7 linked regions of the Xenopus tropicalis genome follow. The protein of the gene in region 3 interacts with the protein of the main gene of each other region in a biochemical or structural test. Links are inferred from orthologs where the notes say so. Each region holds a gene or a part of one and is shown on either strand. Other genes may lie near its edges.

Region 1 (4,052 bases), on a different chromosome or scaffold from region 3:
AACCATGAAATAAACCCAATAGGGCTGTTCTGCCCCCAATAACGGGTAATTATATCTTAATTGGGATCAAGTACAGGTACTGTTTTATTATTACAGAGAAAAGGGAATCATTTAACCATGAAATAAACCCAATAGGACTGTTCTGCCCCCAATAAGGGGTAATTATATCTTAATTGGGATCAAGTACAGGTACGGTTTTATTATTACAGAGAAAAGGGAATCATTTAACCATGAAATAAACCCAATAGGGCTGTTCTGCCCCAATAAGGGGTAATTATATCTTAGTTGGGATCAAGTACAGGTACTGTTTTATTATTACAGAGAAAAGGGAATCATTTAACCATGAAATAAACCCAATAGGGCTGTTCTGCCCCCAATAAGAGGTAATTGGGTTCAATTACAAGTTACTGTTTAATACTACAAAGAAAAAAGAAATATGGTTAAAAATTTGAAATTAATTAATTACAATGGAGTCTATGGAAGATGGCAGATTCCCATAACTTGGATCTTTCTGAATCACGGCTTTCCAGATAAAGGATCCCATACCTGTAGTAGATTTTTGAATGGGAGCTGGCAAACGGTTTGCTTGCAGAGATGCATAGAGAGTAGTGTTGTCTATCTGACCACTAGATGGGGATTTTTACTACTAGAAGTATAGGTGGAATCAACAGACTAAATGAAATCACAAATAGGGAATACATAACACTTCCCTCTAATAAAACATGGATTTAATTATAATTTATTTTTAAGCTGAAGGACTTACATGAGGACCCCCTTCCTTTGGGGAGCGACCACTTGGGGTGTTATTTAGGATGGGGGAAGAATTGCAGAGCTCTGGGAACGGGTTTGGGATGTCAGGGAGTGATGCTGATCGTGATTCCTCATCTCGTAATCTCCTGCAACACATAAATACATACGGTTACACCTCTTGGTTATGGGGAGCAACATTTAATTTGTTTGGTCTTCATTTTTTATTTGTTATATTTTATAATTATTTGCCTTTCCCTTCTGACTCTTTCCAGCTTTCAAATGGGGGTCACTGACCCCGGCAGCCAAAATCTATTGCTCTGTGATGCTCCAGTGTTATTGTTACTTTTTATTATTTATCTTTCTATTAAGACCCTCCTCTATTTATATTCCTGTCGGTCTTTTAAATCACTGCCTGGTTGCTATGTTAAATTGGACCCTAGCAACCAGATAGCTCCTGAAATTCCAAACTGGAGAGCTGCCAAACGAAAAGCAAAATAATTAAAAAATAAACTGCAAATGATAAAAATTGAAGAACAGTTGCAAATAGTCTCAGAAGAGCACTTTCTACATCATACTGAATGAAGACCAATTGCAAATTGTCTTAGAATATTACTCTCTACAAAAAATGAACAACCCCTATAAGGCAGGCCATGGGTCAGACTGCAGAACGAATAGATTATAACAGGGTGATGGGGTCTTGTTGGCCAATAAGCAATGACTGCAATTTCCATCATAATTCTTTGCAAAGGCAAAGCGCACATTCATGGAGAGTAGTACAAGTACTGCTGATCCAAAACATTCGAAGGTCCAGAACCATAGGAGGACTGTGATAAAGGCAAAGGGAATCTCTGTAGTTATTAGGGTTGCCACTTTTACCGAGTAAGAAAGCCAGGCAGGGGGCGGGGGTGATGTCATGGGGGGCGGGGATGTGGTGGGCCATGACATCACGGGGGTGGGTCCATGACACAGCGATCGGCAATTGGCCAATCGCCACATCAATGTTACTGAGTCCAGCCCGGTTTTCCTAATTAGGGAAATTGGGCAGGAGGTTTTTACCCGGGCAGCCCTTCCGATAACCTAGTGTCTGCAGAAGCTGAAGTTTATTGGGGACCAGGCCTGGTCTGGGATATAAAATAGGCCCTGGCATTCCCAGTACCCAGAGGCACAAACAGCCCCCCCAGCCCAATAAATAGTGACTGTCTGTGGCACCTTACAGCCCCCCCGGCATTCCCAGTACCCAGAGGCACAAACAGCCCCCCCAGCCCAATAAATAGTGACTGTCTGTGGCACCTTACAGCCCCCCTGGCATTCCCAGTACCCAGAGGCACAAACAGCCCCCCCCCAGCCCAATAAATAGTGACTGTCTGTGGCACCTTACAGCCCCCCTGGCATTCCCAGTACCCAGAGGCACAAACAGCCCCCCCCCCCCAGCCCAATAAATAGTGACTGTCTGTGGCACCTTACAGCCCCCCTGGCATTCCCAGTACCCAGAGGCACAAACAGCCCCCCAGCCCAATAAATAGTGACTGTCTGTGGCACCTTACAGCCCCCCTGGCATTCCCAGTACCCAGAGGCACAAACAGCCCCCCCCCCCCAGCCCAATAAATAGTGACTGTCTGTGGCACCTTACAGCAGCCCCTCTGGCATTCCCAGTACCCAGAGGCACAAACAGCCCCCCCAGCCCAATAAATAGTGACTGTCTGTGGCACCTTACAGCAGCCCCTCTGGCATTCCCAGTACCCAGAGGCACAAACAGCCCCCCAGCCCAATAAATAGTGACTGTCTGTGGCACCTTACAGCCCCCCTGGCATTCCCAGTACCCAGAGGCACAAACAGCCCCCCCCCCCCAGCCCAATAAATAGTGACTGTCTGTGGCACCTTACAGCAGCCCCTCTGGCATTCCCAGTACCCAGAGGCACAAACAGCCCCCCCAGCCCAATAAATAGTGACTGTCTGTGGCACCTTACAGCCCCCCTGGCATTCCCAGTACCCAGAGGCACAAACAGCCCCCCAGCCCAATAAATAGTGACTGTCTGTGGCACCTTACAGCCCCCTGGCATTCCCAGTACCCAGAGGCACAAACAGCCCCCCCAGCCCAATAAATAGTGACTGTCTGTGGCACCTTACAGCCCCCCTGGCATTCCCAGTACTCAGAGGCCCAAACAGCCCCCCAGCCCAATAAATAGTGACTGTCTGTGGCACCTTACAGCCCCCCTGGCATTCCCAGTACCCAGAGGCCCAAACAGCCCCCCAGCCCAATAAATAGTGACTGTCTGTGGCATCTTACAGCCCCCCTGGCATTTGCCAGAACCCACAGATTGCCAGTCCCAGTTAGCTAAATGCCTGATTTAATATGAAATCTCTAGCCGCCGGCAGACTGCCACTTACCCCCACTTACGGCTCTGAATGAGCAATGGCTGCGACCTCTTCAAATCAGGGGAGAGCAGTTCGGCTTTCTCCGGGTGTCCTTGTTGTGCAGTGGGGCATCGGCTCGTACAGCCTTCTCTCTCATACAGATTGTCTGGGGCAGGACTGTGATTGCTCTCTAAGGCCTCCAAATCCATGTCATCCCCTAAGGGAGAAATAGGGAAATGGCCATCACACATATAAACCATAGCAAATCACACACAGTGAAATCATTTGTGTTTATTTGCAAACCTTAGATCCCCAAATCATAAAAAATAAGCCCTGCATGTAATAAAAGGCACTCTGGGGGTCATTTATAAACAGTGGACAAATTTGCACCTGGGCAGTAACCCATGGAAACCAATCATAGTTTTCATAGTTCAACTTGCAGTTGAAAAGAAACTAATCTCTGGTTGCTATGGGTTATAGCCCATGTGCAAATGTGCCCAGTGTTTATAATTGAGCCCCACTAGGTTTGCCCCAGTAGCAGTAATCCATAGCAACCAATAAGATGTTTGCTTTTAAAGGGGTGGTTCACCTTCAGGTTAACTTTTAATATTACAGCATAGACTGTTCTTAGCAACTTTTCAAATGGTCTTCCTCTTTCCTGTTTTCAAATGGGCAGTCACTGTCCTTTAGCAGCCAAAATAACAACTACCAAATATGCCAAAACTACAGCCAAAAATATTATAGTGAGGGCACTATTACTGGTATCTATAGTGAGGGCACTATTACTGGTATCTATAGTGAGGGCACTATTACTGGTATCTATAGTGAGGGCAGTATTACTGGTATCTATAGTGAGGGCACTATTACTGGTATCTATAGTGAGGGCACTATTACTGGTATCTATAGTGAGGGCACTATTACTGGTATCTATAGTGAGGGCACTATTA
Region 2 (4,052 bases), on a different chromosome or scaffold from region 3:
GTTATGGAAGTAAATCAGCATTATTACTTATTGAGATGCAGTATATATTTTGGTTTGTCTCAATATCAACATAACCTAGAATACTAATGCTACTACTGTAAATTTACCTCTACTGAGACAAGGAAAATGACAGAAGGCCCTACATGGTTACTGACGCAGTGTACATCGTGGCCTACACAAACAGTGCATGGGACAAATCCCCATACATCACCGTGTGTCTAAAGGGCAGCATCATTTGACAGAAGTTACAAAAAATAGGTGTACACTGTGTGTGGCTTCCTTGGAAAGCTAATAACTCTATGGTCATTACTATAAATTCCCTGATAAAAACACACAACGGGAATAATGTTTTTTTTTTTTCTTTTGCAATAACTGTACAGTTCCCTTCTTTGTTTATTAAACAGAAAAAGGACATCCCAAGGTTTGGCCAACTGCTTTTAATACAGGTATGGGATCCGTTATGTGGAAACCAGTTATTTAGAAATTACGGCAAGGTAATCTTCCATAGAGTTCATTTTAATCAAATAATTCTAATTTTTAAAAGTTATTTTCTTTTTTGCCATAATATGAAAACAGTTGTACTTGTACTTGATCCTACCTAAGATATAATAAATTCCTATTGGAGGCAAAATAATCCTATTGGGTTTAGTTAATGTTTAAATTATTTTTAATAGACCTGTAAGTATGGAGATCCCTTATCCGGAAAACCCCAGGTACTGAGGATTCTGAATTAACAGGTCCCATTCTTGTACTAGATAAACAAAGGACATAAAGTTCCATGCCCCGTAACTCCCCCTGCCCTGAGAAACTAAATATCACACACAACCAACCTCCCAGCCCAGCTTTGTTTACAGCACCATTATGAGGTTAGACTTTCAATGTTGGGGTTGTTTTCTCTGGAAAAAAGGCACTTGTGAGGGGACATAAATACTCTGTACAAGTACATTAGAGGGGATTATAGACAGATAGGGTTTTTTTTCCCATAAAAACAATCAGTGCACCAGAGGCCACTCCTTTAGATCAGAGGAACAGAAATTTCATTTTTCTTTTCACAGAGAGGGCAGTGAGGTTGTGGAATGCCCTTCCAAGTGATGTTGTGATGGCAGATTCTGTTAATGCCTTTAGGGTAATGTCCCATAAAGAGATTCGTTGCCCCTGATAGATCACTGCTGCTGTGGGCGACTATCTCGAAATGCTTTTCCACTGGCAACAACAGGAATCACCAGTGGAAAGGCCAATGCATCATTTTTTTGAAGACGCGCAATGCATAGGCCTTTTCACCGAAGATTCCCTTTGTTGCCAGTTGAAAAGCTTTTTGGAGAGACCAGTTGCCCACAGTAGCAGAGATCAATAGTGGACAGCTATTCTCTTCATGGGACATTACCCTTAAGGGAAGCTTGGATAACTTCTTGAACAAACATAATATCCAAGGCTGTTGTGATACTAAAATCTATATGGTATATATAGTTTACTGTATGTATCTCTTGCATAGCTAGCTAGGAACCCACATGGCCATAAAACAAAAGTTGTAGTTGTGCAACGGGGTAAACATGGGCAGAACTAAATAATGCTAAATGCTTACCATGTGGCTGGACACCTGCTACCACGTAACCAGACAACTTCACGTCACACGCTGCTCCACACTCCAGTGGAATTGGCTGTAATCGGAAGTACTGAAGCATTTCCAACACAGACCGGAAACGGAGATGCTGTACATGGCACTGACCTCTCTCTGTAAGGGTTAGGCGCAAGTGCTGTAAAGAAACGAATTGTGCATTGTTACAAGATCAGGTACATGTTCCTAGTTGTTGCTTCAAACTTAGGTACAGGTTTAGCAAAATGTGAGATTAAAGCTCACCACAAAAATATGCACTCACTTTTTCATTTCTATAAAATTTTTAGAAGAGTATCAGGCTAATGCCACGCCATGTGTATGGCATATATTTTTGGCAAGCCGAAAAACTCTTGCCGAAAATACGCACCATGCACTCCTACCTGTGCCCGAAATGAAAGGAATAGGCTCAGGTACAGGCACATGCCCTTAATTGCACATGTGTATTAAGTCAGTTTTGCAGAAATAGCAAGTAGTACTTAAAAATACTTTTTTGCTCCAACTTTACAATTGAAGAATTGTAACTTTACACAGAAAACTAAGAATAAAGACACCAACAATAGTTAGACAGAAAGCCCACACTGGTTGTAGGTAACCCCAACTGTCCCTTTGCTGCTTCCTTCTAGACACTTTCTGTGCGTGGGTGGTGCTTTGGCAGCAATATCCTCATCCTGAGGCCTCACAGTTCCTGCTAGCACTTCCTCATTTAAGCAGTTTCATTTAGGAACAGAAAGGAGGCTAACAGCATTATAAATCTGTAAATCTTACCCGTATCTATTCCAATTGGCTTTTGTTAAGTGACCGGTATCCGTGCCAGTCCAGTTGGAGGAGACAGAAGCTTACAAAATTTTTGCATTCACTTAAGCCAAAAAAACCAACATGACCCTGTGCACAGCTTCTCACAGTGAAAGCTTATATGCAATGCTACATAGCATTAGTTTTCTCATGTCACTCTATGCCAGATGAGCAGATTTTAATATTTTATGAATTTCAAACTATTTTTTCCACTATTATATTGTAGAGTAAGATCCTTACCTTTGCCCTTCCTTGAAAATTAAATGTAAGAACATATTCCCCTCTTCTTGTTTCACTCTGTCTCACAAGGAAGACACCGTGCCCTTCAACTCCCTGGGACTGGACAAGCTGAGCAGCTTTGACCCGTGAGATGGGCCCATGGAACCAGGGTGAGGAAGCCAGAAAATGATCAGTTTTGTGGCAGCATTGCTCAGGTGGCACAAAGACAGAAGCTCCTGGGGAGAAATAAGAACAAAAAAAAAAAATCACTCTTTGTGATATAATGGTAGTTGATTGTGAGCACAGTGAGTTAGATAAACATTGAAGTCAATACATAACATAAATCTGGATATCTTCAACCTTTCACGAGCTGATCTCTCCTACAATATAATGCTGAAAACTCAAATGCTGTATTTGCAAGTTAAATTACTGTCTCCCATGCCATCCCTCCAGTTATGTAATTCCCCTTGGCACACATGTCAGGTCAATTCTGCCACCAAAAAAGCGCCCCCTCCTCTGCCTGCCCATTTTCTAAAAATGGGCTCCTAAATACCTTAACAATGTACTGTTCAGTCTTTGCAGTAAAAGACTACAGCATGGCTTCTCTAGCCAAAATGTATGGTTACAAGTTTATTATCTGGGTTTTAATCCAAGACCTACTTTAAAGCATACTTTCATTCCTTTCTTTACTCAGTAGAAATAAATTGGCCCAGTTGGTTAAAGTGCTGGGTATTGGAAGCTTGGTTTGATTCCAATGTTAAATTTGTGAGACTTCTGGCAAACAAGTCTCTGGAGTCAGATTTAGACCCAGGACACTGACTATGAAGGTAGGGCACTCATATGCCATACAGCGATATGTTTGGACAAACAATTTTGAGAGAATCTCTCTCTTCCTCAAGTCAGTGCTGTAATGACATAGTGATGGAGATATAGATTAGTAACAAGCAGAACAAAGAGGAAGTGAGGCAAAACCACTGTAACATTGAATCAGAATAGAAGTGAATAGGGGTTATGAAGGTGAGAATGAAAATCAGCATTCCTGGTAGAGTTTTCCTTTTCCCCATCTAGTTTCTGATCCATAAATATTACTCAACACAGAACCAAAATATAAATATCACACTGGCTGCAACAGCATTAAATTTGCCAAGGTAAACATTCAAAGTTCTCTGTTAGGATAACATATCCTTATGAGATTTCTTTTCCAGTACGTGCATGGAGTATTTGCAGTTGGAAGAAGAAGAGTGTACACAGTTGGAGGGGTAATTCGGATTTTGGTTTGTCACATTAAACACTGTGCAACAGGGAAGGCTGGATTTCAGGGCTGGAATGCGCAGGATATGTACTGCTATAATGAGTTTCCGAGCAGATCTTGGGTGAGGCCATTTACACATGGCTATAACTATGTCTTTTCTGAATGATAGGGGAT
Region 3 (4,052 bases):
ACAGCCAATAAAGGCAGTCTGCTGTAACCTATTAGACACCTAAGAATTCTGTGCTAGTTTGTCTCTTACAGAGCTGTACTATCCAGGGAAGGGTACAAGCTGTAAAAATGGCCAGAACTCAGTCTTTCTATTAGCCATTTACTTTTTACTCTGTTTACATATTCCCAAGCTAATGTATATTACTTTACCTCATACATACTGTTGCTCCTTCATTATTTATATAATGAAAACAATTTACCAAAAGTACTTTTAGTATTATGTAAATAGTGATATTCTGAGGTAATTTACAGTTGGTTGGTTGCCCAGAGTCCATATACCCTAACGAGCAGGCAGTGGTTTAAATGAGAGTGTGAATGAGAGTAAATGAAATTAAAAATTGCAGCAGAACAAATGCATTTCATGTAATTGTAACATAATACTGGCTGATACAGTCTGTTTTCACATATGGATATTTTGGGTTTAAGATGACATTTGCCACTTTATGGCGTCAGGGATATCTTTCATTTCCATAAGGTTTTGGGCACATGCCATTTTTCTCAGCAAGAGTTCTGAGTAGAGGATTTCTGTGCTATACTCACCACTTTGACTGAGCCCTGGCATGATATACTCGCTGTCATCATCAGGGGTCCCAACAAGGAGGCTCTCCCTTTGGGATCGGTATGCACTGTCAAGGCGAGAGCGAGAAATGTGGCTCAGGCTCCCTCCGCCATAGGAATTATCCTCTATTGTCTCCAGGTCTGAAGAAGTACAACAGCCCTCTGATGACTCTGACACTGTTCGGCCAAGTGAGTCTTCTCTTCTGCGTGTCCCATGTCTTGGAATTGGTTCTGCAGAGGTCATTGTTCCCTGAAAACAGCCCACATGTTAGAAACCCCCCATCTACATCTTCCCAGATGTTCATTTTCACTCTTAACAGAAGGGTTAGTTAAGAGTAATGCAGGCAGAAAACCTTGCTGTCCCCTATATGTAATAAAAAGTACTAAGTTTTCCCAGCAGTGGTAACCCATAGCAACCAATAAGATGTTTGCTTTTAAATAGGTGACCAGTCAATGTTTCCTGCTGATTGGTTGCTATGGGTTACTGCTCCTGGGCAAACTTAGGGGCTGATTTACTAATCCACGAATCCGAATCCCAAATGGGAAAAAATCGTATTGGAAATTAACATTTTGCGACTTTTTCGTATTTTTTGCATTTTTTTTCGTAGCTGTTACGACTTGCACAAATTGTCGCTACTTTTTCGCAGCCGTTACGACTTGCGCAAATTGTCGCGACTTTTTCGTATTGAGTCGTAGTAAACGGCAGGCAAACCTTTCCGTTTTTTTCGCGACGGCTACGAAAAAGTCGCGACAATTCGCGCAAGTCGTAACGGCTACAAAAAAATTGCGATGGCGACGAAAAAATCGCAAAATACCTATCATTACAAAAAAAACGCATTCGGACGCTTTCGATCCATTCGTGGATTAGTAAATCAGCCCCTTAGTGTCTTTAATAACATAACCCCATATGAGTTTTGTTGTATTGCTATTTCCTAGAATGTATGTATTCTTTGTATTTTGGAGCATAAAAATGGGCTGTTAGCATATCTTGGTGTGTAATCTGTCAATCTGCTCAAGGGCTTTTGCTGTAGTGACAAATATATACAAAAATATAATAAATCCAAATATAGAAAATTAGGCACAAAATCTTTTCTATCTTTTTAGGCATAGCTGTCAGTACATTAATGTACACATTAAATAAACTTTATTGGGAAAGGAATAAAAATGATCTTAGTTAAGTTATTCTACATGCCGCCTTAAGTGGTCATTGCTATTCTTTTTTTTTACCCCAAATTTACCTTTCTTGAGGAGCTGCAAAGACTCTGGTTCATAGGCAGGTACCCAGCGATAGAGCTCAGTGCACTCTGACTCTGAAAGGAAAGCCAAGATTTAACTTACAGAAAAAACTTACCATTCCCCCATGTGCAACTTTATGACTGTGCTATTGCAACTGAAAGTGCTACGTATAAAAAAAGATATACATGCACTGCATGATGCCTGTATCCCTCCTTGCCCAAGCCTTTTTGATAGGCTCTGTTTTCCTTACCCTAGAGTAGTCAATTCTTTGTCGTGAGGCATATAGGGTAGTTGGAGTTTTAGGCTGCATTGCCATGTCTTCAGACTCAAGGTCAGTGTCCACGTCAGACTCCAGATCACTCACTTGTTTCTCAGACAGAGGTGGTGGATCCCCTGGGAGTGGGGACTGAAGTGCATCACTATTGCGCTGTTTGGAGAAGAAAAGAGATGTCATCAAGGTGCACAATCATCAAAATAACATTTTTTTTATATGTATTTTTTACATGTATTTGGTCTTTAAAAGTCATTTCTTTAACTTGCTTGGGTATCTGTCATGCTATATGGCTGAAATGTGGTTTTACTTTCATTACACCAGCGAATAAGTAAGAAAAAAAAGGAAAAGATCTGGAAGTCTCCAGGTTTCTATTATTTACACCAATAAAATTGTATAAGAAGCAGGTCATACTTAAATGGCAAAGATAAGAAAGTCAAAAATATGAAGAGCAAACTGTATCATAGCACTTGTGATTTGTATATGTAATCCAGCAATAATGGAATTTTGCACCCCTGAGGCAATAATAAATGATACCCAGTCAATAAGAGATTCATCTCACCGTAACAACCAGGTAGCGAGGTGGATCCCTAGCCATACGGGTGAATTCATTTCCGAGTTCTTTAAACGTAGGGCGAATATTTTCATCAATCATCCAGCCTAGAAAATAGAGAATGTAACAGAATCAAGTCAATCAGGCTCTTACAGTTTGCTGTTTAATAATAAAACAGTACTTTGTACTAAGCTGCATGAATCCACATTGATGGCAAAACAATACTGTTAGGTTTAAGGAATGTTTAAATCATTTTTAGCAGACTTAAGGTATGGTGATCAAAATTACGAAAAGATCCCTTATCCAGGATAACCCCAGGTCCCAATCATTCTGGATAATAGACCCTATACCTGGATATCTCCTACATGAAAGCCTCCGAGAGGTTCTAATGATCTCTATGTACTGCTAATGCCTAAGAGAGCCCAGATTAGCAACGAATACCTCTACTTACATTTCACCATTACCATGTAGACATCAATGGTGCATATTTGTGGTTGGGATAGTCGCTCCCCTTTCTCTAGGAGGTCAGGAACTTCTGACAAACGAATCCCTGTGTATGGTTCTGCACCGAATGTCATCATTTCCCATAGAGTAACACCTTTTTGAGGAACCAAAAATAAAGGCATTGCTGACTATTGTTAAGAGTAAAGGCAGGGCAGGTAATGATATATAGTTCATGACAGTGTGAAGCACAATAATGCCTTGGGTATCTGTTCCACGTACCATAGCTCCATACGTCACTCTGATGAGTGTACTTCCCAAAGTGTATACTTTCCAGAGCCATCCATTTCACGGGAGTCTGCATAGTACCAAAAAAGGTACATTAAAAAAAAAATAAAAACAAAAGTACAATTTTAATCAAATCTCAAAAATTTTTCTCAGTGAACTGGATAGTTTGATTTTTTTCAGAATTTGATTATAAATCAGTGTATGTAGAAGTAAAATAAACAGATACAGGGGTATGTACAGGCCCAGCCTGGGATTCAAAATAGGCCCTGGGATTATAATTACACAGAGACCTAAACAGCCCCCATGAGCCCAATAAATAGTGACTCTTACAGGAGAAGGCTCTGGCATTTGCCAGAATCCACAGATTACCAGTCCAGGCCTGTCCACAAAAAAAAATCCAAAAACCAAAGCAGGTAAATTCCCCTGACACATCCATGCTAGAAACTATAATGCCGGATGCACCTAGAACAATTGTGTTAATTTAAAGCTTGTTGCTAAAAAACAACTGCAAACAGCATTAATGGACACCCTGCTGCTTGGTGATTCACCGGCCCTTGCAGTTGCAAAGGAATATGAACAAGGATATGAGAGCAGAAACCAGCATTGGAATATGCTTAGCTAGTAATAAGGTAAGGTTAGATATTAAGCAAATATTGTACTTATAAAC
Region 4 (4,052 bases), on a different chromosome or scaffold from region 3:
TTTGATTTGGGGATAGCTGTTACCTTACCTGCCTAGGTGCCCCCAGCCACATCACTTGTACTCTGATACACTTTTGTCACTCTTTACTGCTGTGCTGCAAATTATGATTGATGTCACCCCCTCCTCCCCCCCCCCCCAGCAGCCAACAACTGAATAATGGACAGGTAACAAGATAACACCTCGCTGAAACCTTTGGTAAAGGATTCAGCAGTCTGAACTGATAGTGCCTACATGAGCTAATAGCACTCCTGGTACTGTTTTGAATTATGAGTGGGTAAGCAGGCAAAACTGCCTATAATGACCCCAATAATGTGTGGGTTCTCTGCCAGGTAAAATACACTGTGAAAATACAGCTCTATGTGCCCCATTACCTTTAATTAGTTTGTATAGTAAAGGAGATATAGATATATATACACAGTATGCACTTAATAATGGTACACTGTTTTTATGAACGATAACTACAGATCTTCATTATATTTTACAGTGAGGGATAGATGTAGAGGCACCCAAAATACATTAAGTGAGAAGCAGTGGGAACTTCAGCCCAAAATACATTAAATACAGTAAGAGGCAGTATAATGAACTAAATGGAATTAAAATACGAGAGGCAATACATTGACACCCGAGACCCCCTTCATATTTCCTGAAGGCTGGAGAAGATTAGCAATGTAGAGATCAAATGACTTAAGAAATTGTGCCTTGCTAAATGTGCTCATTATAGTGGCCCACCTAGTGGTAGACATGAGAATATCAACCCAGGTGGAGAAACCTGTTTTGCTGTTATGCGACTTGGGTTCTATTGACAGTACATTGAGTGGGAAAAAACTGCTTATCTGAAAGCAGTTCTATTGTGTAATGCTGACTTCTTCCGAAAGCTCAGAATCAGGCGCAATGCACTGAGATGGCTGCCTACACACCAATATTACAGCTAAAAAATACATTTGTTGGTTCTAGAAATTTTAAATGGTAGAATAAATTATTTGCAGTGTACACAGTGTAATTTAGAAAAAAGCACACCATAGAAATCATGCCAGAATCGCTTTATGAAAAAGTTGAATGCAACAAGTATTTCAACCATTAAGTCACAAGGCAGCATTCTTTTCACATAGTTCCAGCATCATTGCATCTGCTATGCAGAGCTGCATTCAGTGTTTTATACTAGACAAACACATTATGATGTGAAAGACTTTAGTGTGCAGATTTTAAGATGGCCTCTCATTTTTTCCATCCTTTTTGCTTTCGTGTAACTGCGACAGTGCCATTATTTTTTGCTTTGCAGCTCTGCTTACTTTACAAGTAGGTTTCTTCCCAGGCTCCAAGTAAGCCATTTGTGCTGGGGCCAAACAAACAAAAATGTTACATGTTTGCTTGGCTTATATATGTGATAATTTGTTTTAATATCTCTTTTTCTGCTCTATCCAGGAAGACACTATGGAAGTGGAGGAGTTTCTGAAGGAAGCAGCAGTAATGAAGGAAATTAAACACCCCAACCTAGTGCAACTTCTGGGTATGTAACCTAAAGAAAGTATTCAAAGCATTACCCATAAGAATGAGTGAATGTGTGTGTAATATGTACAGGATCTACATTAGTCTTTTGGCTCTCGGTTTCTTCCATTAGTCAGTCTGTCTTTGTTCCCTTTGGCTGTGTTTTTTTGATGCATGTACAAGTGTCTTCATTCTGTGATGCAGTGCACTGTCCAGGTAGAATGTAATACACTATTAAATGAAGGAATGAATATTTTTAGATACTACGTAAAAGTAAGAATGACCTTTGGGATACCTGCTTATTAAAACCTGTAATAGCCTATTCTTCCTACAATATATTTATCTGTCATCTTAACTATGTTCTTAGGTGTTTGCACACTGGAGCCCCCATTTTACATAGTAACTGAATACATGCACTATGGGAACCTTCTAGACTATTTACGTGAATGTAATAGGGAAGAGGTGACTGCTGTTGTGCTACTTTACATGGCCACTCAGATCTCCTCTGCAATGGAATATCTGGAAAGAAAGAATTTTATCCATCGGTGAGTTGCATATATAGGTACCTTGAGTAATTTTATAGTCCAGCAAATCCATCAGTAACACATTGTGAGGTCTGGGAACTTAAATTATAGCTTTGTGTCTTTCAGTTGGCAACTTTGTATACATAGTAGTGGGTTGCAAGATGTATCTATACGCAGACACTGAGTTTCACTTTGAAAATCCTAATACAAAACAATAAAATGTTTAGATAACTTACTAAAAGTGTTTATTAGAATACAAAAGTATAATATACAGTGGCAACTTTTCTCTCCCATTGTACACTTTTCATGCATCATTGACTATGAGCTGTGAGATCACAAAGAAATGCTAAAGCCCCAAAAATCTGAAAAATTTAGCTGTTTTTTTTTTTTACAAGTTCTGTTGGAAAGTAGGTCATTGCCAGTCTTACGGATCACTTTCTGACATTACTCTGCAGATGCTCTGAGTTAGTGTAGTAATTGTTTTTTGGGATTTAGTTATATGAAGCATTTTTTTAATTAATCCAAATTGCAAAAAATACTTGTTGAGGCACGTACTACGGTAGAACCCCCATTTTACATTTTTCGGCGGACCAGAATAAAATGGTTTATAATCTGGGAAAATTCAAAATCTGGGAAATGGACAAAAACAGTGTAAAACTTAACATAAGGCTATGTTAAATTGAGGTTTCACTGTACTGTAGTAAAAACAATTTGGCTGAAAGGTAAGCACCTGTACTACTCTAGCTTCCACTCATTACTAATGCATACACAGTGTGTATCTCTAAGGCCTCAAGGCTATGGTAGATAAAAAGTGATGAACAGACTGCAAGCCAGCACCAAACCGGATTCCACAATTTCTCCGTGTTCACCTTACTAGACCAAGAATTCTTCAATGATGAAGTTAATCTTCTTAAAACCGCCTTTATTCACTTAATTGGCAAAGACCAGGATAGCAACGTTCGAGGTCTACATTGACCCGTTATCAAGCTTTGGCTTGAAGCCTTAGCTTGATAAAGGGTCAATGAAGACCTGAACCTTACTATCCTGGTCTGTGCCAATTTTGTGAATAAAGGCGGTTTTAAGAAGATTAAATTCAAATTTATTTGTCTCATACACAGTATGATATAAAGTGAAATGCTTATACGATACGATTCATTTGGAGTGCTGTTCATAATTGGAGATTAGAAGTGATTGTCAATTCTGTATCCTGTTGTATTCATCTACACATGTTTAACCCCTTTAAAGTTAATAATCCCTTGAACTCATTAATGAGGATGTAAGGTTGTGTCCTTTTTTAATGTCTATACTAAATACCCTTGATTTTTCTGTAGGGATTTGGCTGCACGAAATTGTCTTGTGGGGGAAAATCATGTGGTGAAAGTAGCGGACTTTGGACTGAGCCGCCTTATGACTGGTGATACGTATACAGCACATGCTGGTGCTAAATTCCCAATTAAATGGACTGCTCCAGAAAGTTTGGCATATAATACATTCTCCATAAAATCAGATGTTTGGGGTAAGAGAGAGTTTGTTATGTACTTTATTTACTTTGTCTACTTTCTGATACTGCAATGTACTTTTATACCATTTAAAGAGGTGCAGGGGGGTTTGGTTTAAAATCCACTCTAATTCTAAATAACAGAGAAACGTCCTTAATGACATTCCTAGAACTTTCACTAAGGTGTATTTAAAATAATGTGACATATTCAGTATCAACCACATCACAACGTCAAATCGTTTTGGATGCGAGTGATTTGGTATAGAATATAAACAATTCCCTAATTCAGATTAGAGGTACATTAAATCTGATCGAGTCACAGTTAGTTCCCACATACCAATATCCTTTTGTTTTTAGAGTGTTTTCTCTATCAGTGTTTGCTCTATCTCTGCATGCCTTAAAAATATTATCAAGCTCATAGTGGAAGACTGAAGTACCTTTTAAAGCATTAACATAACCTCTCAGTCCTTTCTACTGACATCAGGTATTTGTGACATGAAATCAACCTTAAATCTCTCTCCAACATTACTGGAATTCTTTAAATT
Region 5 (4,779 bases), on a different chromosome or scaffold from region 3:
GGTCTCTATAACCAAGAAGTGCACACCAAACCAGTGGCTAATGCCTATTTTGTTATTTGGAATGATACACAAGTAAGCTTATCCTCTTCTACTGAGAGGCACAAAACTCTGGTAAAGAGCCTCTGCTCTTTGCCAGCATAATGCTTTAACATTTTTCTTATTAAAAATCCAATAAAATACATTATTCTGATTAGAAATTATTATAAATGCAACCATTAAGGATAAAACCAGTCTTGGAAGAAGTAGCACTATGTAGGTTTATATCAATATTCCTGACTTTTTCTTTCTAAGAATAGAGAATGTGTGGGAACAAGCAGGAAAATCATCACGTAGGAAGCATAAGAGTGGGTATAATATACGATTGCAAATATTAACCTAGCCTTCAAAGAAAGTCTTCCGCGATTTTAACTGCACTATATGGTAAACATACATCTTTTTACTGTGCTTCAAAAAAAAAGCTCCTGTACAGCAGGATAAAAAAATATCATTGTAACATTATTGTTTACAAGGCAGTATTTCTATGCAACCACAAAAATCCCATGATTGTTCTGTAACTGTTTAACCAATGCTCTTATTAACATAGTAATGTCTAACTGGAAAGCAGCGCTGCATTCATTAAGGCTTGTCTCATATCATATGGTTAAATATATCCAGCAGAACAGAAGCCCTTGATATTTGGAACGTACACTTCTTTTCACACTGCAAGGAAATAAGCTACCAGCTAAAACAGAATGCTCCTACTCCTGGTAAGCACAACAGTAAAGCATTTACATGTGAACTGCATGTTTAATCATTCTGCTGTAGATCGGAATATACAGCCACTGACAGAGCCGTTATATACTGAATGATTCTGCTGTTATCGAGAGCAAACTGTTCATTGATAAAAAAGAAGAACAAGGAAGAAGCAGACCAACCTTCACAATGTACGTCACTCCAGGTCCCAGGATCTTCTCATTCGAGTGCAACCATCCCCGAGAAGGTTTATTGACGAAGCTGCTACTTTGATTCCAATCCTCACCTCCCTGATGCATTTCTTCTGGTGTTTTTTTCCCTGTGCTCATCTTGTTCAAGTCCTGCTGAGAACACGGGGTAGAGACAAGGTTACATGTGTTCTCCGTGGCTCCTGCTGCTATGCTTAGTGCTGGAGAGCTCCCCTGTAACTTGGAACCTGTAAGCTCCTTTACTGCAGAGGAAAGGTTCTTAATACCCAACAGGCTGCCTGAACTGGAGAGTTTTAAGTTGGACACTTTGTGGATGAACGTACAAAGAGTGGTGGGTCCATTTTCTTGGTCCTTTTGCAGCACGTCAGGTGGTGCTGAGCAGGGTGGTGAAGCTGGATTTCCGGCTACAGTGGTGACTTTACTGTTCATGGACAGGTTGTGCAATAGGTCGTCCACTGGTGTCACAGATTCATTCTTGAAGCGGTTATACTTGGTACGTTGAAGCATGCCCTTCTATCTCGTTTTATTCATATGCTTTGGCAAATCTGTTGCCAATCTAAAAATGACAGTTGCTAACATATCCCGGCATTCATAACTATACCTGTAAGAGAGATTAAGAAAGCCAATACTATAACAATTTAGAAGAAAAAAAACACTTGAAAACCTGTGCTAAACTGTCCAGATAAAAAAAACCAAACAAAATAAAATTGAATCTGTCTGTTCTTGTAGATGTACGTAGAATGGATGCAGAAGCAGACAGTTCTCTATGACATTCCAATTCTGGTTAGAGCTGCCAACTCGCTCACAGCAAAAGCATGACTCACACAAATGAGGAGACCCTTTTCAACAAAAGGCTCTGTGAACGCTGCAAATCACTTCCTGTAGCACAAAAAAATCCACCCACTTACAGCACACTAGAACCAATCAATTCTCAAATTTCTTCTCCCCAACTTCATAAACACATCATTTTTTTCTAGTCTTTTTAATCTGTCCCTTCTTTCCCAAACCTTAGCACACCTCTATCAACTATGTTGGTCTACCTGTAAAGCACAGTAGCTGATTGTCTACATAAAACCCAATAAGTATTAATTAAGTATTAAATACACTTACAGTTCCACATACATTTTATGTTAATGAAATATAAAAAGGTGAAAATGGCACTAACTGCACAGAATTGCTAAAAATAGTATTCACATTAGGATGACAAAAGCACAACAATTTGTTTTAGAAATTCCATGATAAGATCAATAGAGAAAAACAAATAAAATCCAGTGCTCTATTGGTAATAAATATTAGGTTACGGTACATAATGGGCGTAGGAGTAGGCATTTGAATGCAAGTCTGGATGTAAATAGTTATTTCCAATATATTAAAAAAAAAAGGCTGCACTTTTTTCAGGAAAATCATTTAGCATTCTCAAAATACCCAAACATTTGAAACTGCCAATGCATATTAAAATCTTACCAGTATAGTGTCCACCACCATTCATCCACTAGATCATTTGGAGCACAGTATGTTCCACAACACAGAATTAATAAATACAATGTTAAAAAGTGACAAACAAGGGATAACTTGTTTAGAAAGGAAGCAGTACAATTCAACAATCCCTTACTAGGTTTCCCATTCTTTCAGTAATAATAAAGCAGCACATGAAGAACAAGATGCACTAAATAAACTTTAAAATTCATGTATTTTGTCAGTCTTATTTATGATGTATGAAACAAGTCAGCACCTAAGCTCCCAGGAGTGATGAATAATGGAAATGTCCTATTTAATATAAGAGCGAGTTTCTAGTGATGTGCAGAATAGCCTTTCATTAGCACACAGCAACTCGCTGCAGTATCCACACAGCATTCATCTTACCCTTCTGTCTGTTAGCATAGCAACAGCAAATACTCACATCACAGATTGTTTCAGGTCTTATCTAACAAAGAAAGCCCTATTGTTCCCAAATGTCTCTCTTCATTAGATACAAATAAAAATTGCAAAATGTGAATGGAACTCTATTTATGTGAATGAAAGGGCTGGCTAGCATACCAGTAATTCTGTGAATGAAGCAGGGCCATGCAGCGCCTGCCTGGCAATCCCTTGGGTGCTAACCATTCCATCCAATGAGAGACTGTTTGGATGACTCATTCAACAAAGGTTGGCTAAATAGTGGAAGAGACCATTTTGATCACAGGCTGCATCCTTCCCACGACAATATTTAATCCCATTTAACAGCACCGAGACAAGCAGATACGGGTTCTTTGCACAAACATAAAGTACACCGTTCAAAAAACACAGGGTGTAATTAGTGTTAAAAAAGACAGATTTCTTGAACATGAATTTAATAAAGGCAGCTTCATTCACGAATGTGCTTATTTTAACATGCCTATTCAAGCACAAGTTAAATTGACAGACTGGGTTTTGATTTACAACACGATTTCCTTTTCTTTGCCAGTCTGCACTGAATGTAAGCGAACTTAACCCTTTGCTAACACTGCTATTTTAAATTATATCAAGGCTTGCATGAATAGCATTTTAGCATATAAAATATAATTCACTCTGAACAGGAATCAATATTACAAAACTGAACTCATGCAGTAATTGATTTTAATTAATATTGGGGGTGGGCACCATTTATACAAACACCCCCCTTAACTAATAAAAGCATTGGATTCCTGACACTAATTTGCTTAGATGTTTTTATAGTTCATTTTTACAGTTCAGTTGCAGTTTTTCTTCTCTGTGTTGCACAAAGATTTTACAGCTAAGACATGCTTTTATGCAAAACCTATGGGCCTTTTTAGCTCTGAGAAGCAGGAAGTATTGCAATGTTCAGAGAGTAATTTTTTTCACTTGGCCAGAGCTAACTGCACAACATATAGATAATAAATGTCAGGAATCATCAGCATTAGCATCACTTCAGTACAAGATTCTTCCTCTGAGCTGCTTGCTCTGCTTATGGAGCACTTCACAAGACACCACAATTTTTATTCATGATCAAAATAACATGATCTGAACTAATGGTTATCCATCAGTATTCCTTGAAAAATAAACTTTCTTTCTGCTACTTCTCCTTGCTCTTGTTGCTTTATGTTATCCCCTGCTATTGCTACATTACTTCCACAGAAAGGGAAGCAATGAAAATCCCTGCCTCTCACTAAAACCTTATACTTTTTTTATTTATACTATATAACATAAGGGCTTGATAATGAGAGTTAGAGGTATATATACAGTAGCTGTATCTCTACATGTTATGACCAGACTAAAGGGTATTTGTCTGCTGTGCCAATGCCTGTTGAGGCCATTTACAGTTACATTATTTTATGTTTCATCCCAATAATACCTAAACTATTGCTTTCTGCACAATAGAGGCAGATCACTGTTTGCTCAAAAGCAATGTTTAATATACAGTTGTAGATCAAGAACTATACTAAAAATTATACTAAGACGTATAAAAATAAGTAATAAAAGACAGTGGTAAGGAGCCTGCTACCAACTAATGTTGTACAAAGCTTTTTATGTTAATTAATGATCAATACACTAAACCAAGCATGGGCAGATATTTGTATATGTTCATTTGTGGTTTCCCTTTCCAACAGAAAAGGCCTCAGAACTCTCTTCTAATACTGCATTGGGTATTTGCTCCATAGTTTGGATATATTTCCTATAGCCCACCATACTCTCTACTCAGGGTCCTCTTAATTGCAAAATAAACACTTATGTCTCAAGCCAGCAATAGTTCAGCAAAGTTGTAATAAGTTTGAGGCATAATTCATCAGGCCTCACATGTCTGCCAAAAACAAACAATGGTATTACCAGTGGTGGAGGCAGAGGTCTTTGCAGCCATCAG
Region 6 (4,261 bases), on a different chromosome or scaffold from region 3:
CTTTGCATGGTTAATGCACATGGTATCTCACACCTTAAAAGTGACTCAACAGCACCATCTTAAAAAAGTCATGTGCCAACTAAATGACTGCAGAAGCAAAATATATTTAAGCAGAACAAGCAGAACGGGTAATTCAAACACCTGATGAATGTCAGTGGGAATTAATTAGGCAAAGTGGATTTATTTAAATGTATATGCATATTTGGTGCTGGCATAAATTAAAACACAACATTATTTAAACTGCTTCATTAATCACCCCTTATGCTGTGAAGGTGATACAGAATGAAAGATGCTATGGTTATTTTAAAGACCCATGTAGGCCATACTCTTTTGGCTTACCTGAGTCTGTAAAAAGAGACTCTTAAGGAGAAAAATATTCTTAAGAAGAAAAATATTCCACAGTTTTGCTTCTCAGTGATATAGACATATGCTGTGTTGCCTGCTCTTTAACCCACTGTAGAGCAGAAACAATAAAATACCGTCATTACTTTAAAATCTTCAGGAATATGTGAGGGTCTTTAATATACACATAAAAACAAAATTTCAGCACTTACTAAGCCAACAGTTTTGCATTTTTACTTTACAGAATTCATAGCTCTGTAATCGCTCTAAAGCTACTGTACAGTAATACACAGCAGGCATTGAGCTGAAGCTAAATGAAAGGACATTCAATTTCTTGTTTCAGGCATATTTTACTATTTAACTATTTACTATTATTACTATTTGTTACTGCTTAAACCAATGCATAAAAGGGCAACAGTCCTGTATTGAAAAACTAGTCAAAGGCAATATAATACAAAATTATTTTGTGGTCTTTTCTGCAATAGATTAATCATATTCAATAGCAATACATTAAGGCCAGTAATGTTACAAAATGTGCAGCAGATAAGGTGGTTACTTTTCAGGGTCAACACTGACTACATGTGGCATGTTCTTAATAAATGATGAAGCCCTTAGTGTCTTCATCGTAATTCTGTTTACACTTTCAGTCTTTATCGTAGTCATAAACTGGATGTAAAGTAGAGGTGAGACTGCAAATTAATAGCCTTACAGTACTATTAACTAGGTTGTGATCTATTAACTGGACAAAATTGTGGATGCATTACACACCCTTTCTTAAAGTGTAAGAGTGCTAAGTATAAATCAATCAATAAAAAAACAGCTAGATACATAGATATGTGCTCCACAATAAAGGCAAGAACAGAATATTAGGAGTAATACCAACTATACATACCCCTTTTAGTAGTAGCTAAACGACCTCTTTCTGTGGTTCCAATTAGATTTAGGGTAGAAGGCTCAACTGATTTTCCTACTGATGTAACTTTTGGTAAAATTTGATCAGGTGTAAATGGCTGTAAAGTGGGTTCTGTGGGTAAAAGAGAAGTTCCAAATTTTAATGTAACTGGTGCCTTAGCATCAGTTGTAGGAATAAGGACAGGTAAAGTACGAACAGAAGATGGCACCAAAGTGGAAGGAGCGGTGTCAGTATAAAGGATAAGATCTTGGCCTCTGCGCCCAGGGTCCAAATGGGTAGGAGAGTCATACTCAAATATTTTGTCTACAAACACCCACTTAAGGCCAGCGATGCAGAGACACAGGCTAATTAGACATGCCAAGATAGGAATAATACAGATCTTCTCAGAGTTAAGGCAGATTCTCAGCCTGTCTGCCTCAAGGCATACACAGCAGGTAATAGCAAGGCCTGTGATCCCATGGGTCGTTTCCTCCTCAGCTTGAGTCCCTGGCATGCTTTCTTCATTCTGAAGTTCAGCAGAGGGGGGGCCTGAGCTCTGCTCAGAGCACTGGTTCTGCAAACCCTCTGCAGTATCTTCAGACATCTTAAAGGCATAAATCTCAAGCAGCTTGCTTTATTGAACCTTGGATCTTTATGTGTTCCATAACCAGAAAAAGCAGGGCTACATGCTCTAAAAAAGACATCTGCATTTTATCCAGTAAATCAGAAAGTAGTCTCAGCAGGCTGTTGAAAAGAGCAACTAAATGGTATTCTTTACAAAAAGAGTATAGCAGTTATGGCTCTAATATCTGATTCTCTTCTTTGCCCTTTTGTTAATTAGGAGAGCATGCTTCACTCTCCCTTTCAGACATGTTTTCTATGAGGATGCAGGACACACATAGTCAGCAGTCATTTAGTTAGGTAAACCAATAACCAAGAGTAAATTGCTGTTCTCTCACCTGCAGCATCTGAAGATGGTATCTGTTTGGTAGAAAATAACTGTCATGAAGCAGCAACAACAAAAAGGGAAGTAACAACGGCAACAGCAGTACACGAGGCAGCAGTGGCAGCAGTAATACCATCCTGTTGTGTTAAGGCTGCGAGCGAAAGAGGCTGAATCATTACAGAGCAGCAGGTGCCTGCACAGTGAACATCACTGCACACAGTACTATGACAAGCTGGGACCAGAAAATAAGGATAACAGTTACTGTGTGGTCACTCCCTTTGTCTTCATTGCCTGTTTAGTCTTCTTCACTGCGCCTGTATCTTCTTTCCCATTTGCACAGAAGCCCTATGTCCTTGCATTCTCTGTCACGTACCATATCACTTAGTTTCTCCTTTCTCTTCTGACTGCTCTCCCCCACCCACTGCAGGGCTGGTCTGAATAAAATCCAGCAACAGAGTGCTACCAGTGACTTCCTACTTTATCCAATTAGAAGAAATGAAGATCATCAAATCAAAGAGAAGGCAGCAGGCAACCTTTATGATCTTTCATTCTCTTTTTTTGTCTTCTTTTTTAGCTTCCACAGTGTTCAGTTAGGGAAAGGCGCAGCAATCGATTACAGCAATGTAACTAGGCTAAGGATGAGGAGGTGAAGAAGGTAGCTTTATGGGCAGAACCTAAAGCTTAGTGAATCTGATATCTGATTCCTCCCAAGAGACAAACTGTTGTTTCTATCATCCTGCTGTTCTAGGGAGTTTATCCATCAGTAAAATAATACTGTTCACAATGTGGACAAGAACAATTAAAAAAAAAAAATACTCAATTGAGACAGAATTAGATCAAATCAGACTTAGCAAAAAGTGCTTAATTATTCCACTATATGGTTATACTGCGGACAAGGCAATGAATGGTCTAGGGCGGAGATGTACAACCTCCAATGTTTAATAAACTACATCTCCCAGCATTCACCTAACAGCCTTTAGGGATGATTTCCCATTTCCCATCAAGCTTTGCAGAAACAAGAAATTAATAAATAAATGATTGTATTTCGCACAATAAAAGCATTAAGGTCTTTGGCAAGATGGCAAGCATGTTTTAAAACATCCTCAGACAAAAGGAAGGTTTTGAGGATATAAAATGTCAAGATAGCACTGGATTCAGGGAGAGGTGTGTGCATTGGTGCAGTTTGGTTTCACTTGTAGAAGGAAGGTGTGGCAAGGATTCTGCACAGTCATGTTACATTTCCTCTGTACTGATATCTGCTGTGCGTCTTTTTTTTTACATATGGGATGCCGAGGCAATTGTTGCTATCACAAACTGCCTTAAGAAAGTAGCTGCTTATTTGATAATAAGGTGCTGCCTATTAACTGAGAGACAATCATATTTTAATTGCTGAGAAAAGAGGCACAGCCAACTATTTTGTAAATTTTACTAGGTTACTGACTCTATTGTTTTTAATTATCTTTAAATTAAGCATGTAAATAATTGTGCTGTAACATATCGCACTCAGTTTACACTACAGAGTATTTGTATGTAAATATTTAAACTGCTTTTATAAATATGTATGTATAGATCATTTTAATTTACAAAAAACTGTCATTGCAACATGCTAAAATATCTTATAATATGCATATTTATAATTTAGGGGGTTTATCGGCTAATCAACAGCAGCAGGAGATGGTTATATTATTTGTAAGTAAAGATGGGTTGTGAACTAGTCCTAATTGAATTTTCTGAGTGCTGTCAGAAAGAAGTATTTATGAGTGCTCCTGCGTATTGCAAAACACAATGAATGGGTAGCAGAGCTGTTCAAAACTCTGACTTGGAAAGCCTACTTTCATTCACTAGTCACCTCTTTGTGACCCCACAAAAGGCTATTTGCCTTTCATTTCATCAAGAGCCACTGCCAGAAAATACATTTTATGATGTCCAAAGTCCTGCATACATTGTAAATAGAAAAAGGGCAATATAATAACTGCAGAACAGCCACATTAGATGGCAACCTAGCCATTACATCTTGTTTTACACAATATGAACATAATAGTTAAAAATATTAGATCATCAAAACTTCCTAATTTAAATTG
Region 7 (4,052 bases), about 9.9 Mb from region 3:
TAGGCTGTTAGCAGCCAGTAACCAATCAGTGACTTGAGGGGAGGCCATATGGGACATAACTGTTCAGTTATTTTGCATTTGAATCTGACCTGCGTGCTCACAAACTAATTGAACAGTTATGGCCCATGTGCCACTGACTAACTAACAGGTTAGAGAGCTGAAAGCAGGAAGTAGTGTTCTGGCTATTATGTTAGACATCTGCTAATTCCAGCCTTTATGGATTACATTTTTGCTATTAGAAATATACAGTCTCATTTTTACAGAGTTCCTTTTCCTTTAAGGGCCATTTATAAGGACGTTTACAGCTTATTCATAACTCTTGTCCATATTGTGGATTTGCCATTTGTCCTGAGCACAAATGATTAGGAATCCCCTGAATAGACGCACTATTAGAGATAAATGAGAAAGGATTAGGCCACAGTGCAGGTAGGAGCACTTGTGCAGGAGAGGCCACTCTGTAACAGAACTGAACTCAGAGGCTTCATTCCATGATATTAGGGATGAAGGTGATTTATTGTTCCCACAGAGAGAAACATCAGGCAAATACTCAGTTTCTTTTAACAATAATAATTATAATGATTACGAGAAACTTGAACAAAATGTTGTCTTTGTGCGTTTTGGTTTCTCTCGGAGCACAAAGAATAAATAAATAGCAGTATTGTGGGGTGGCAGGGAGACAGGATTCTCTGTTAGTTGGGAAACTGCTTTACCACAGAGCCGATTAGCAGTCTCAGGTCACGCCTATTCCATGTGCATCCTGATTGTGGCTCCAACACTCACCAACACAGGCCAGAAGTAAAGGGCAACTAACTATAATTTCAGGAGAATTTTTAGACAGTAGCAGTACCTGAGGCTGAAGCCATGTGTACCAATGATTTGCAGCAGGGCGCTGGAACTTTCATTTGGTGCCACACGTATGACTTTCCCAGAAGCCACTCTCGGGTCACCTGGCACTGTCTAGCTTGCTAACAAAATAAAAAAATATTTGCAATATAGTTAGTTGGGCAAAAATGTAATCTATAAAGGGTGGGAGTGAGCAGATGTCTAACATAATAGCCAGAACTCTACTTCCTGCTTTCAGCTCCTAACCTCTTAGTTAGTCAGTGACTTTAGGGGGGGGCACATGGGCCATAACTGTTCAGTTAGTTTGTGAGCACGCAGGTCAGATTCAAATGCAAAATAACCAAACAGTTATGTCCCATATGGCCCCCCCATCAAGTCACTGATTGGCTACTGACTGCTAACAGATTAGAGAGCTGTAAAGGAGTAAGTAGAGTTCTGGCTATTATGTTATACATCTGCCCACTCAAGCCTCTATAGATTACATTTTTGCCTAATTATATTGAAAATATTTTTATTTTGTGCAGTCTGTCTATTTTAGCCAGTTTCATTTTTATACTAAACTGTTCCTTTAAAGGGCCAGGCAGCCTGGGGAAGGGAATGCGCTGAGAGTACATACAAATGACCCTTACTTAGGCTGTGGTTAAAAATTTGCACCATACTGATAAAGTATCATATCTATTTGAAAATACCTTTAGTTTTCCTGGTAGGGCTTTTGGGCGGCTGGCCCTGGCCCTGGATCCATAGAGTAGCCACCTGGTCGGCACTTTACCAGCCTTGTCAATAAATATAACTTTTGATGCCAATACATTGTTAGGAAAGAATGATAACAGCCAAGAAAGGCCAGTGTTTTTTCCAGAAAATTCCAGAAATGAGGGGCCATCTACTTCCCATAGGCACAGTGCAATGTGCACTTCCAGACGCATTAACCATTTCCTTTAACCCATAATGCTAAATTTTCCAATGATTCGAGAGTAACTGTGGTTGCCATGGAAAGACGCACCTGACGGACTTGCTGCGAATGATTTAAGACGCGCTTGCGCTTTGACAGGAACTGGATGCAATTGCTCTGGAATTTTCTGGCAGATCTCATATTGCCTTCAGAGTGACGCGTGCAACACTTTCTTTAGGCACAACTGTGATGCGCAAACTGACACAGGCCATTGTGGGAACTGTAGGGATACCCTCTGGTTCAGAGACAGAAGTAGCGCCAACATTCCCACATTGGTCTGCGGCAATAGGCGCAACAGGAGGAAAGTAGCAGCAACAAGTGCAACTATGAGGAAGTGCAAGGGGTGCATATTGACGCTATTTGAAGTAGCTTTTATCATTGGGATTTTCCAGGCAACTAAATAAAGACAGAATAAAGACAGAATATCCCATCAGTGCCACTCATGCCGTAAAGTGAAATTAAAATGTGCATCAGGTTGCAGTGTGCAGCACTTTAGCCTCGTAACTCTGTTTCAGCTCTTCTAGTACAGAGAGCACAAGTGCACTGGCAGAAAAGGTATGCACGGGGTAGTGTCGTTGAGTTGCCAGCCTCAGGGGACATTTTCAAAATGCATTTTGACCTTTCCCATAGATCTCAAGTGATTTCTATTTAGTAATACTTAACATGCAGAATCATGAGGAGAAAGGAGATGGAGCAAATGGTTTCTCATTATTACTGGCCATACTAAATCAGCACTACTCCACTCCTTGTTTACCAGTCCCCATAATGAAAGCCAGACCCTCTGACAGTGGAAATAAATGATCCATATATAACCATTGTTTCCAGTTACATCAGGGCTTACTTGTGCAGCTGCTAGATTCTGAGGGTGGGGGGCTACACATTATTACATCATGGGCTTTACCACATAACATTCCTCTTATGTAGTAGTAACGCCCCTCTGTTATACACTGATATTGATAAGATGAGCATAGTATGTAAAGCATTTTACATATGCATTGGTTTACTTTACCCGGAATAAGAGACAACTGATTAAAGCTGTTCTGGCGCCCTGATTCTTGGGCAGGGGTGTTCAACCTGCCACCCTCCAGCTGTAACTGGACTGCATCTCCTAGTTCCTATAGACAGCTGAAGGCTAGAGTGCCACCCATTTCACCCAAAAGTAACAACGGTAGGAGTTTATGGATATATTTACAATTGGAGTCCTGCTTTGACATGTTTAAGCCAAAGGTGCAATTACCATACCACTAAGGTGTCGGTAATGCCAAAGTGACTAATAACTTGTCCAAAAGCACAATATCATTGAATTGTCTGTATCATTGGCTGTAATACTCACCTTCCGGTTGCTGTTGTTCCACAGATGTGAGTTCACTGACACTGCTTGCAGAGATTGTGTCACCGCTCATTCTTCTGGGAGCAGAGAGATTGGCAGGAGATATAGAGCCAGAAGGAGGAGACTGACCTCTTGGTGGGCTATATGGGGATATGGAATTAGGAAATGAGTGGGGACCATAGCCATTAGGTGGGCAATGAGGAGGGAGGTAAGACGGATTTAGAAAATGTGGATATGTATGTCCATAGCCACCTTCTGTGAAATGGTTAAAATGCAGTGGTTCTTCTCCATGTGAAGGTGGATAGCCATACAGCATCTTTGTTTGAGGGACTTGGAAAGGATGTGGGAAATCATGGTTGATTTGAACACTCTGTCCAAAAGGCTGAGGAATATGCAATGGCAGCTCCCCACGGTGAAATGGCTGCATGTTAGTTACAGGGTAGCAGGCCGAGTTCTGACAATGAGAGCAGGGGCATACTGGTGTAAAAAGAGGTTCATGTGGAGGAGGCTGGCAAATGTATGGCCGTGTATCCCTCAAACTGCCTCTCTTTGGTGGACTATGTGCATGAGCTGGGTAATGCTGTGGTCCCTCAGATAAAGAGCGAAACAATCTCCTTCTTTCTTGTTCTCCATACATTCCTGGATAATGAGCAGTTTGCAGAATAACCCCAGCCCCTGTCCCCCCTCGAGAGTCAATAATGCCTTCTGGCCTGAAGTAAGATCTGTTTGGCGGTCCCTCAATATTTGGACCCGAGTACCCCAGCCTACAGGAGCAGTGTCTTGAGATTAAAGGCCTTCTGCCTGGGTACATAGCCAGTTCCCCATATTGTCCCATTTCTTCTTCCAGAATGGCTGCCTCTCGCTGACCATTCCAATGTGTCTCACAAGGTGCCTCTCTCTGACCTTCCCAGGATGAAGAAGCCAAAGGCA

What was found.
Region 1: the proteins of erbb3 (region 3) and grb7 form a complex in vitro, tested with the Homo sapiens proteins (2 studies listed by BioGRID and IntAct, with this or other methods). The link is inferred for Xenopus tropicalis from reciprocal best matches to the Homo sapiens genes ERBB3 and GRB7.
Region 2: the proteins of erbb3 (region 3) and sh2b3 form a complex in vitro, tested with the Homo sapiens proteins (2 studies listed by BioGRID and IntAct, with this or other methods). The link is inferred for Xenopus tropicalis from reciprocal best matches to the Homo sapiens genes ERBB3 and SH2B3.
Region 4: the proteins of erbb3 (region 3) and abl2 form a complex in vitro, tested with the Homo sapiens proteins (2 studies listed by BioGRID and IntAct, with this or other methods). The link is inferred for Xenopus tropicalis from reciprocal best matches to the Homo sapiens genes ERBB3 and ABL2.
Region 5: the proteins of erbb3 (region 3) and shc3 form a complex in vitro, tested with the Homo sapiens proteins (2 studies listed by BioGRID and IntAct, with this or other methods). The link is inferred for Xenopus tropicalis from reciprocal best matches to the Homo sapiens genes ERBB3 and SHC3.
Region 6: the proteins of erbb3 (region 3) and nrg1 form a complex in vitro, tested with the Homo sapiens proteins (8 studies listed by BioGRID and IntAct, with this or other methods). The link is inferred for Xenopus tropicalis from reciprocal best matches to the Homo sapiens genes ERBB3 and NRG1.
Region 7: the proteins of erbb3 (region 3) and tns2 form a complex in vitro, tested with the Homo sapiens proteins (2 studies listed by BioGRID and IntAct, with this or other methods). The link is inferred for Xenopus tropicalis from reciprocal best matches to the Homo sapiens genes ERBB3 and TNS2.

The regions. Positions count from the first base shown.
Region 1 is NC_030686.2:9,726,465-9,730,516, forward strand, and holds part of grb7 (growth factor receptor-bound protein 7), read right to left. Parts: intron 3,323-4,052; coding exon 3,139-3,322; intron 897-3,138; coding exon 764-896; intron 1-763. UniProt on the Homo sapiens protein: Adapter protein that interacts with the cytoplasmic domain of numerous receptor kinases and modulates down-stream signaling. Promotes activation of down-stream protein kinases, including STAT3, AKT1, MAPK1 and/or MAPK3. Promotes activation of HRAS.
Region 2 is NC_030677.2:163,168,628-163,172,679, forward strand, and holds part of sh2b3 (SH2B adapter protein 3), read right to left. Parts: intron 2,863-4,052; coding exon 2,648-2,862; intron 1,755-2,647; coding exon 1,583-1,754; intron 1-1,582. UniProt on the Homo sapiens protein: Links T-cell receptor activation signal to phospholipase C-gamma-1, GRB2 and phosphatidylinositol 3-kinase.
Region 3 is NC_030678.2:137,680,136-137,684,187, forward strand, and holds part of erbb3 (receptor tyrosine-protein kinase erbB-3), read right to left. Parts: intron 3,456-4,052; coding exon 3,380-3,455; intron 3,255-3,379; coding exon 3,108-3,254; intron 2,764-3,107; coding exon 2,666-2,763; intron 2,260-2,665; coding exon 2,083-2,259; intron 1,907-2,082; coding exon 1,835-1,906; intron 847-1,834; coding exon 579-846; intron 1-578. UniProt on the Homo sapiens protein: Tyrosine-protein kinase that plays an essential role as cell surface receptor for neuregulins.
Region 4 is NC_030680.2:99,866,960-99,871,011, reverse strand, and holds part of abl2 (tyrosine-protein kinase ABL2), read left to right. Parts: intron 1-1,422; coding exon 1,423-1,507; intron 1,508-1,852; coding exon 1,853-2,030; intron 2,031-3,340; coding exon 3,341-3,525; intron 3,526-4,052. UniProt on the Homo sapiens protein: Non-receptor tyrosine-protein kinase that plays an ABL1-overlapping role in key processes linked to cell growth and survival such as cytoskeleton remodeling in response to extracellular stimuli, cell motility and adhesion and receptor endocytosis.
Region 5 is NC_030677.2:137,828,482-137,833,260, forward strand, and holds the start of shc3 (SHC-transforming protein 3), read right to left. Parts: upstream 2,982-4,779; 5' UTR 2,842-2,981; intron 2,434-2,841; 5' UTR 2,406-2,433; intron 1,805-2,405; exon of another isoform or gene 1,543-1,804; 5' UTR 1,449-1,542; coding exon 915-1,448; intron 1-914. UniProt on the Homo sapiens protein: Signaling adapter that couples activated growth factor receptors to signaling pathway in neurons. Involved in the signal transduction pathways of neurotrophin-activated Trk receptors in cortical neurons.
Region 6 is NC_030677.2:96,901,461-96,905,721, forward strand, and holds the start of nrg1 (pro-neuregulin-1, membrane-bound isoform), read right to left. Parts: upstream 2,801-4,261; 5' UTR 1,839-2,800; coding exon 1,235-1,838; intron 1-1,234. UniProt on the Homo sapiens protein: Direct ligand for ERBB3 and ERBB4 tyrosine kinase receptors. Concomitantly recruits ERBB1 and ERBB2 coreceptors, resulting in ligand-stimulated tyrosine phosphorylation and activation of the ERBB receptors.
Region 7 is NC_030678.2:147,566,770-147,570,821, forward strand, and holds part of tns2 (tensin-2), read right to left. Parts: coding exon 3,126-4,052; intron 1-3,125. UniProt on the Homo sapiens protein: Tyrosine-protein phosphatase which regulates cell motility, proliferation and muscle-response to insulin. Phosphatase activity is mediated by binding to phosphatidylinositol-3,4,5-triphosphate (PtdIns(3,4,5)P3) via the SH2 domain.